2 linked regions of the Tribolium castaneum genome follow. The protein of the gene in region 1 interacts with the protein of each later gene in a pairwise test. Links are inferred from orthologs where the notes say so. Each region holds a gene or a part of one and is shown on either strand. Other genes may lie near its edges.

Region 1 (3,767 bases):
ATATCACAAAATATTTAAGATTGTTATTTTCAAAGGTTAAACAAAATGTGAGCACAGAAATTTAGGGTGTTCAATATTTCAGTATTAATTTTTTTTTAATTTTTAAGATGATTCCGTTTTTTTTAATTGTTTATTACTACCTTTGTTCCAAAATAAGTGAAAATCGGATACATATTTTGGAAGAAAGGTAGTAATATTTATTTCTTAGTTGTTAATAACCGTCAATAACCAACTCTTGTTGGTTTTTTATTAATTAAAATTTTGTTTTAACTTACGTCTTAAGTGGAATATGATTTATGTTAGATTTAATGGTAAAATAGACTTGCTATTTATTTATTATCTCGATTTATTTTTGACTAATTACTATAGTATTAAAATTTTTGTAAGAAACGTATGCAATATTTTTGCTGCGACAAAAATTTTCTCTACTTTGTGTATTACTTAAATAAATACTTGCAAATGAACAGATTAATTTTAATGTCCCCGTATATTAAAAAAATAAAGCGGAAAAGTTAAAAGTATCGTTTGTTGACACCATAAATTTAGGTTTTCTGTGAACTTTTATTTATAATTCGACAGTCTTGCGAAGCAAAAGTCAGAATTTTTCCTTGAAAAGCCGTACGTTGTTGATACCTTTCGCAGTTTGAAAGTCTGTTGTAAATTTTCGCTGGATTTAGAATTGTGCCTGCTTTGCAAGTTTGTTGTCACTTATTCAAGTAAAAAATCAACTCAATTAACATCAATCTCGAAAACAAGGGGTGATTATATCACACTTTGAAATAATAAACCGATAAAATTGTGCAACACGCAACAACCATTTGTCTAGATTTTTCCACTTAGATACCTCTCTATTCAATAAATATTTATTTAATCTACCAACTAAAATATGTATATCGTATATAATTTAAATATTAGTTAACAATGATCCTATTTAATTTGATTCTAATAAGCAAGTACATATATTGTATCCTAACCGATTTTTGTTTCGTATTTATAGTCATCATGTGATCAAATGGTAAATTACATCGATGGTGATTACCCTAAGAATTTTGTCTTTTATACAGTGCTGCCACCAATAAAAAGTGTTTTGTGCCCAAACCGCGCTATGGATTCAGTCGCTTTGTTCACCGTCACCTTCCACATCCTTTTCACCAACCTCTCTAGTATTGCTATCCTCAGTCTCAATACTGCTGGTTGGAGTCGGCGTGTCCTCAATGCTCAGCAACGCCGACGAGTTGCTCTGAGTCACATTCGGACTCGTATCGTAACTGCTCCCCGACTTGGCCTCCTTCCCTGGACTATACTTCAACTCGGAACTATACGTGGTGCTCAAATAACTCGTCTTCTCTGGATATTTACTCCCAATGGTGTTGTATTTGGTGTCACTTGCGAAGATCGACTCCGAAGCCTCAAAGCTCGACTTGCTCGTCGAATAACTGTCGAAAAACGACTTGGTCTCCTTCATCCCCCCAATAGTATTGAACTTATCCCCGAAGCTCATCTCCCCCGGCGTGTAATTCAAGTACGCCCCCGTCAGGAAGGGGTTGGTGCTCGCGTAGGTCGTGGGGGCGAAGTTCACCCCGAACATGGAGCTCGCAGTGGTGCTGGTGCTGCTCAGGGTGGAGAAGCTGGGGGTGGTGGTGCCCAGGGTCACGTTGAGCCCCGCCGAGGAGGCCTGCATGGCGGGCGAGCTGGAGCGGGACACGCTCCCGCCCAGGATGGAGGGCGAGGCGCGGCTCAGACTGGAGACGGAGGGGGAGTTGCGGGGGCCGGGGGAGTTGACGGAGGTGGTCGAGGGGGAGTTGCGGAGCCCGGGGGAGCTGATGGTGACCGAGGGGGAGGTCCGCAGGATCATCGTCTGGGTGGATGGAGAGGCGCGGATGGCCGGCGAACTTACACGGCTGGGCAGGCAGTGTTTAACGGAGTCGGAACCCGATTGCGAATCGCTACTGCTGCTTGGCGAACCTGGAGAAGAGACTATCACCTGACGAGGCTTGAGGCCGGCCGCCGCTGCTGGTGGGCCGACTCGTGGAGAGAGCGGACGGTAAGGACCTTTGCTTGCTGATGATTGGCCCTGGAACGGAGGAATTATTTTCGGGAGGCGCCAAAGCTGCCAAGGAGGCAATTTTTCACCATCGTTATTGACATTATAAAGCTGGTTCGATTGAAAATCTGAATCGGTTATTTGTTATTTAACACATTCGTCGCAAAGTGTAATTTTGCGTTGTTGAACTTCTAAATAAATAATCATTATTCCTTTTATTTGACCAATTTCCGTATGATTTTTTATTTTGGCGATGAACTGGCCCAGCAGATTGCCAGATTTGACGGCAATAGAGTTTTTTCTTTGCGTCGTTTTGAATTACGTGACTACCGCAGCAAAATACAAATTTTGCAAGTCGTGAAAGCCAACATTAAAGAAGAAGTCGCCAATTTGGAGCAAAAATTCAAAATTATATAAATCGGGTTTTCTCTTAAGGCTATCAATTCTAGCGGCTGCTTTTTGGCCGATAACATTTTCTCGTCTTAATGGAAGAAATAAAAAAAAATACAATATGTGATTAATTGATTATAAATAATGATAATGAAATCCCAGTCGCTGCTACCGGAAGGCGAGATTTCCTCACATTTGTTTTAAGAGTTTTACTAATTAACGATTGACAATTTTAAATTAAAACAAATGTAACGTTATTTCTAAGAATCCTCGACAGAGCCAAAAGTATTTCATCTTCTCTCTAACACTCATTGTTAATGGTAAGTAATGTTTGAAGAACACCATTTTTTATTTAAGGATTTTTTTGAATTAAATAAAGCACTGATACTAAGTAGATACACATTTATAAAAATGTACATTATTGAATTTAATTTCATTTCATCCTCGATTTCATCTTAAGTTATGTTTTACGTTACTGGAAAATAAATAAGCAGTAATTGAGTAAAAAAGGATTTGTATTGGGATTCTTGCAGTACTATGGAGAAAATGTCTTTTAAAATGTTATTACATGTTTCCCGGTCTAAAACAATATTTTTTCTTCTCATGAAACCACTTCCTGCTTTGTCTTAGACTGATTACTGTAAATTTAGATTTTTTTTACATCTAAAAGGAACGATTGAGTAATTTTTTTTTAAGTACTAACGTTTCTTACATATGTATTTATATTTTATGTAAACTTTTACCAATATTAAATTTGTCAAAATGCTATGAATACAGTTAAATTAGTTAAAGAAACAGTTGTAGAGAATTAAATTTCTTAAAAAAATTAAAGATGTATCTTCAGCGCTTCAGGTACCAAAAAATCTGATATTCTACATCTTTTGTTGTATCTTTAATCGTATTCGCAGTGTTCTCAAAAATACAGATTGTTTTTTTTAAACGGGGCTACTTTGAATATTCTTTGGATATTTAAAGTGGTCCTAGAAGAAAAAATTTAAATTTTTATTTTACTGATGAAGTTTTAAAAATAGTAGCAGCTACCTCTTTTGGGGCACAAACAACTCCCCAATTTTTTTTAAATAGTTAGACTCTTCTCGTGATACCTCGAATAATAGGTATGTTTACTGGGAATTTATCTGTCTGCCCTCAGAGGTGTATTTTTTCCGAGGAGGGAAATTGATCTTAGTTTATAATTTTTTGCTTAACTAGATGTTACACGTATACTTGCTTAAAAAGCAATATAATAATAAAAAAATATGCTTATGGTGGTAATGCCAAGACCCACGTGTCAATAAAAAAGTTACAACAAAGTAAAATGTATTTAATTTAAAAA
Region 2 (3,836 bases), on another chromosome or scaffold:
TGTAATTTTTATTTTTTTAACTATTGTAACTAGGTTTCCTATTTAATTAATAAATTCTTCTTCTTCTTCTTCACAATTACGAGCATTACTGGGAACTTGGCAAACTTACCAATGGTCTTGAAATCGGTGTGGAAGCCGTCGACGGTGATTCGCGCGTCTCGGGCGGTCCGCCGGAAGGTGACTTCGTGCCAGGAGCCGTCGTCGATCCTCCGTCTGGAGCCGCGCTGCTTCGAGTGGCCCGAACCCAGGTCCAGGTGCACGTAAATGTGCCCGTTGTAGATTTCAATCGCGAATAAGTCCACTCGAGGAGGACGAACTCCGCCGTTGAACAGGATCAAGCCGTTCGCCTCGTTTGTGCGGAATTTGAACGAGATGTTGCCCGATTTTTTAGCGTTCCAAGGTGGCAATATCTAAGGAATCACAGTGAAGAAGAAAACTTTGGTTTTTAAAACACACTCATTTGGCACAAGGGTTGTAATAAGTATAGGAGATGAGTCTGCTAAAATTCTAATTTCTCTGTATCATCCTATCGTAATTCTCTGTTAATTTCTTTGTTTATTCAACTAGAAATATTTACTTTTGTTACTTTGTTAATTCATTTCTATCTATAAGTGCATATTTATGGTGCTATTCACTAACTTTTGTTACTATCCTCGTATTACTGTAAAAATTACAGCTGTTATTTAAATTCGTATTCTGCAATCTCTGTTACCTCCTGTTAACAACATTTGTAACATTCTCTGTTAAATAACAGCGACCAAAATTTCACCATAAACTAACTATGACAGTAACAGATCGTTAATTTTTGCAATGGTTTACCAAATTAACAAGAAATTGTATTAAAAATGTGAAAAGTGGATAAAACTGAAAACTTTAGAAGCATGTATACTACTCTATACACTTACATTTAAAAAAAATGTAGAAAAGGAATGTGGAATAATCCATAATATTGCAAAGATAATCTCTGGCAAAAACTTAAAAATTGCCAGAAACGCAAAATTTCTATAAATGAAATATTTAGCACTGTGTACTCTTTATTTTTGTTACATTATTTCGTGAATATAGAAGAAGATTTTTTAATTTGTGTTATTTATTTCAAATTACGTTTTTTGTCTTTCAATAATAATTGTCTCTCTTCCAAATTGAGTTTCTTTTTTTAGTTTTGCGTTAAGTTTTTTCCAGCACAGAATTGAAGAATTTGGATTCAGTTTAATTACCGACTCCGACATGAAATTCCATGATAGTTTTTAATATGTAATTAATATTTAATAATATTTAAGACAAAAATTGTTTTAAAAAAATGTGTTTTTTTTAATAAACAAGGATATTCTTGGCCCTTAACTGTACTTGTTTTTTACATTCGTCTTCTTTTCATTTCACATTTCAGTGAACTTTTTGCGAAACCAAGCAAGAATAAAATATTTAATCTGTTAAGCGGTTTAACAAAATATTCTCATTAGTTTTTCTAAAAACTAAATACATATTGCCAAATCAGCGAATGAACCTTACAATTGTATCTCCCTGTATATTTTTCATGTAGGCAGATACTTATAAAAAGCCTTAAATGACAAAATCTCAACAAAAATCACTGAATCGGACAAACTTCTTTGACTCAAACACAGCAACAATTAGTTAAAAAAATAATGTAAAAAATTTAAGGAAGTTATTACCTAATTGCTACTTTACAGATGTTTATTAAGTTATTGGTCCATACTGTTACCTCTTTAAATATTTTATTTTTTTAGTCCCTGTATATCTTTTTACTTTTTTTAATACCCTGTATGTCACAGTTTGTTGGTGACGACATATTCTTACACAATTATTGTTATGTCTTTTCATAACATGACATGTCATAAATAAAATCAGAATTTTACGATTTAAAAGTATAAAATTCGTTGGCTAGTACATGTTAATCGAGGTTAATGTGTGCTATTAGAATAGATTTCCACTGAGAAAAAGGGGTTAAATTTAGTAGTGGAATAAATTCACAGAAACGATTATTTTTAACTATTCATTAGATTTAACCAAAGTTGATAAAAGCGGCACTAAATTTTTAATATTTAGACTAATTTACAAGCACATTGTTTCGATTTTTTTTTTACTTTAGTAGGTCTGTTTAAGAAAATGATGTGATTCTGTATACGAGTATAATTATTTGACATCTTGTACCGATTTTAATTTTAATTTATTTTTATTGTCTTGCTACAAACTCTAGCAGAAGATGAAAAATAGTAAGTGTATTTTTTATCTCAAATGAGATGTTGAAAAAATGTACTCAAAAAAATCATCAATTTAATAATTTCTTGCATTAATTGAACAAAACGTTAACAATTCTTTATAAAACAAGCGAAATGAAAATAATTTTAATGTAATTTTTTATTATTGATGTGAAACATCATAAAGTGGTGCTCTAGTCACAAAAAATAATATTAATTTGGTGATATTTTGCTTCAATTTTGGTGGAGGCGCCGGGAAAAGTATCATTTGCTTTATTATATGCTAAGTTTTCCGTTTTCTAGTAATTTGCAACTATTAATAAAACAGAGCAAAACACGTAGAACTATTCTAAAAATGTTGCTATGCAGTGTCTTATTAAAGTCGCTAGTTTTTTTTTTCAATTTTTTATTAAGTCTAGCTATCAGTTTAAAAACACTTTTTGTAATTTTTTGCATCTTTTTAACCAAATAACCAATAGTAGACTATGGAGTACTGTCATTTCTGTCAAATCTTTAAATTAACTTTTTACTCATTATTTTGCATTTTTTGGTGCAAAATTGTGTCAAATGTAGAATTTGTCTTGATTTGTGTTTTATATTTCCGTAATTTTTCCTTTTTTCCATTATTTTGTCGGATCTGTCATTTTAACAGCACTACATTACATAGGTGACTTGATGAACACATTGTAATTTTATGTGATATCATCAATGATATCTCGTCTACGTTTTATTTTTAATCTATTTTTATGTGTTTTACTACAAATTGTAGTAAAAGTACATTTTGTTATTTTTTCTATTTATTTATCACCATTATTTATCGCCATATGAGAAAAATATAATTTTTGTATTTTTTATATCTTATTTCACAAACCAATAATTACTTTATTTCTTTCATAATAATCATTATTTATCTCACTCTTATATCCTTTCTTCCTGACTATTCAAATCTCCAGGTGATTCTTGCTGGACAAATCAGCTGTTAATTTGTACTTAACTGTATTTAAGAGGTAAGAAAAAAATTTGTAAATGGTATCGCTAGATGCCGGTCTTTTTGTAAGGCAGAAAACCAGTAAGGACGATTTTTTTAACAACCAACCCTAAGAGGGTTAAATTGGTTGTTACAGCTTGTAAGAAAATGCGTTATTTTTAAGTTATTTCCATGCAAATTAGAATTTGGGGTTTCGTTTAAAAATGAAGAAGCGCGTGTCTCAGAATTTTTAAAATATCACCCCTAAGAGGGTTAAAGAAGGGATGACAGTTTGTATAAAAATCTGTCATTGTTGTCGAAATTTCACCTCCAGGAGGGTTAAATATAGGATGAAATTTTGTTTGCAATTCTGTCATGTTTTAATAAATCCCAGATTATTATAAAACAGGCAACAGTAACTCGGGTGCGTATTGGGTCACGGTTTGATAGTTCATAATTAAATTATGTGTTCCAATTTCGATAACATACTGTAACAGGCAAAAACTGCATTGATTGTATTAATAATCCGAATTTCAATGGAATAATAGCGGTAAGATTTGCGCCAAGGGCGGAAATAGCGCCAATTGAAACTCACCAAGTGCGAATCCCGTGTGGTGAAGGTGATGGGGTCGTGGGACTCCCCTGCCGGACAT

What was found.
Region 2: the proteins of RhoGAP100F (region 1) and Nrx-1 interact in a two-hybrid assay, tested with the Drosophila melanogaster proteins (2 studies listed by BioGRID). The link is inferred for Tribolium castaneum from reciprocal best matches to the Drosophila melanogaster genes RhoGAP100F and Nrx-1.

Annotation. Positions count from the first base shown.
Region 1 is NC_087395.1:21,942,608-21,946,374, forward strand, and holds part of RhoGAP100F (rho GTPase-activating protein 100F), read right to left. Parts: intron 2,075-3,767; coding exon 1,112-2,074; 3' UTR 1-1,111. UniProt on the Drosophila melanogaster protein: GTPase activator for the Rho-type GTPases by converting them to an inactive GDP-bound state. Promotes the anchoring of Liprin-alpha clusters at synapses. Recruits and keeps Nrx-1 levels high in active zones in the presynapse opposite the postsynaptic region.
Region 2 is NC_087396.1:20,895,329-20,899,164, forward strand, and holds part of Nrx-1 (neurexin 1), read right to left. Parts: coding exon 3,779-3,836; intron 411-3,778; coding exon 110-410; intron 1-109. UniProt on the Drosophila melanogaster protein: Neuronal cell adhesion protein involved in synapse formation, development of synaptic active zones, synaptic regulation and visual function. Plays a role in cell adhesion between the pre- and the postsynaptic cell.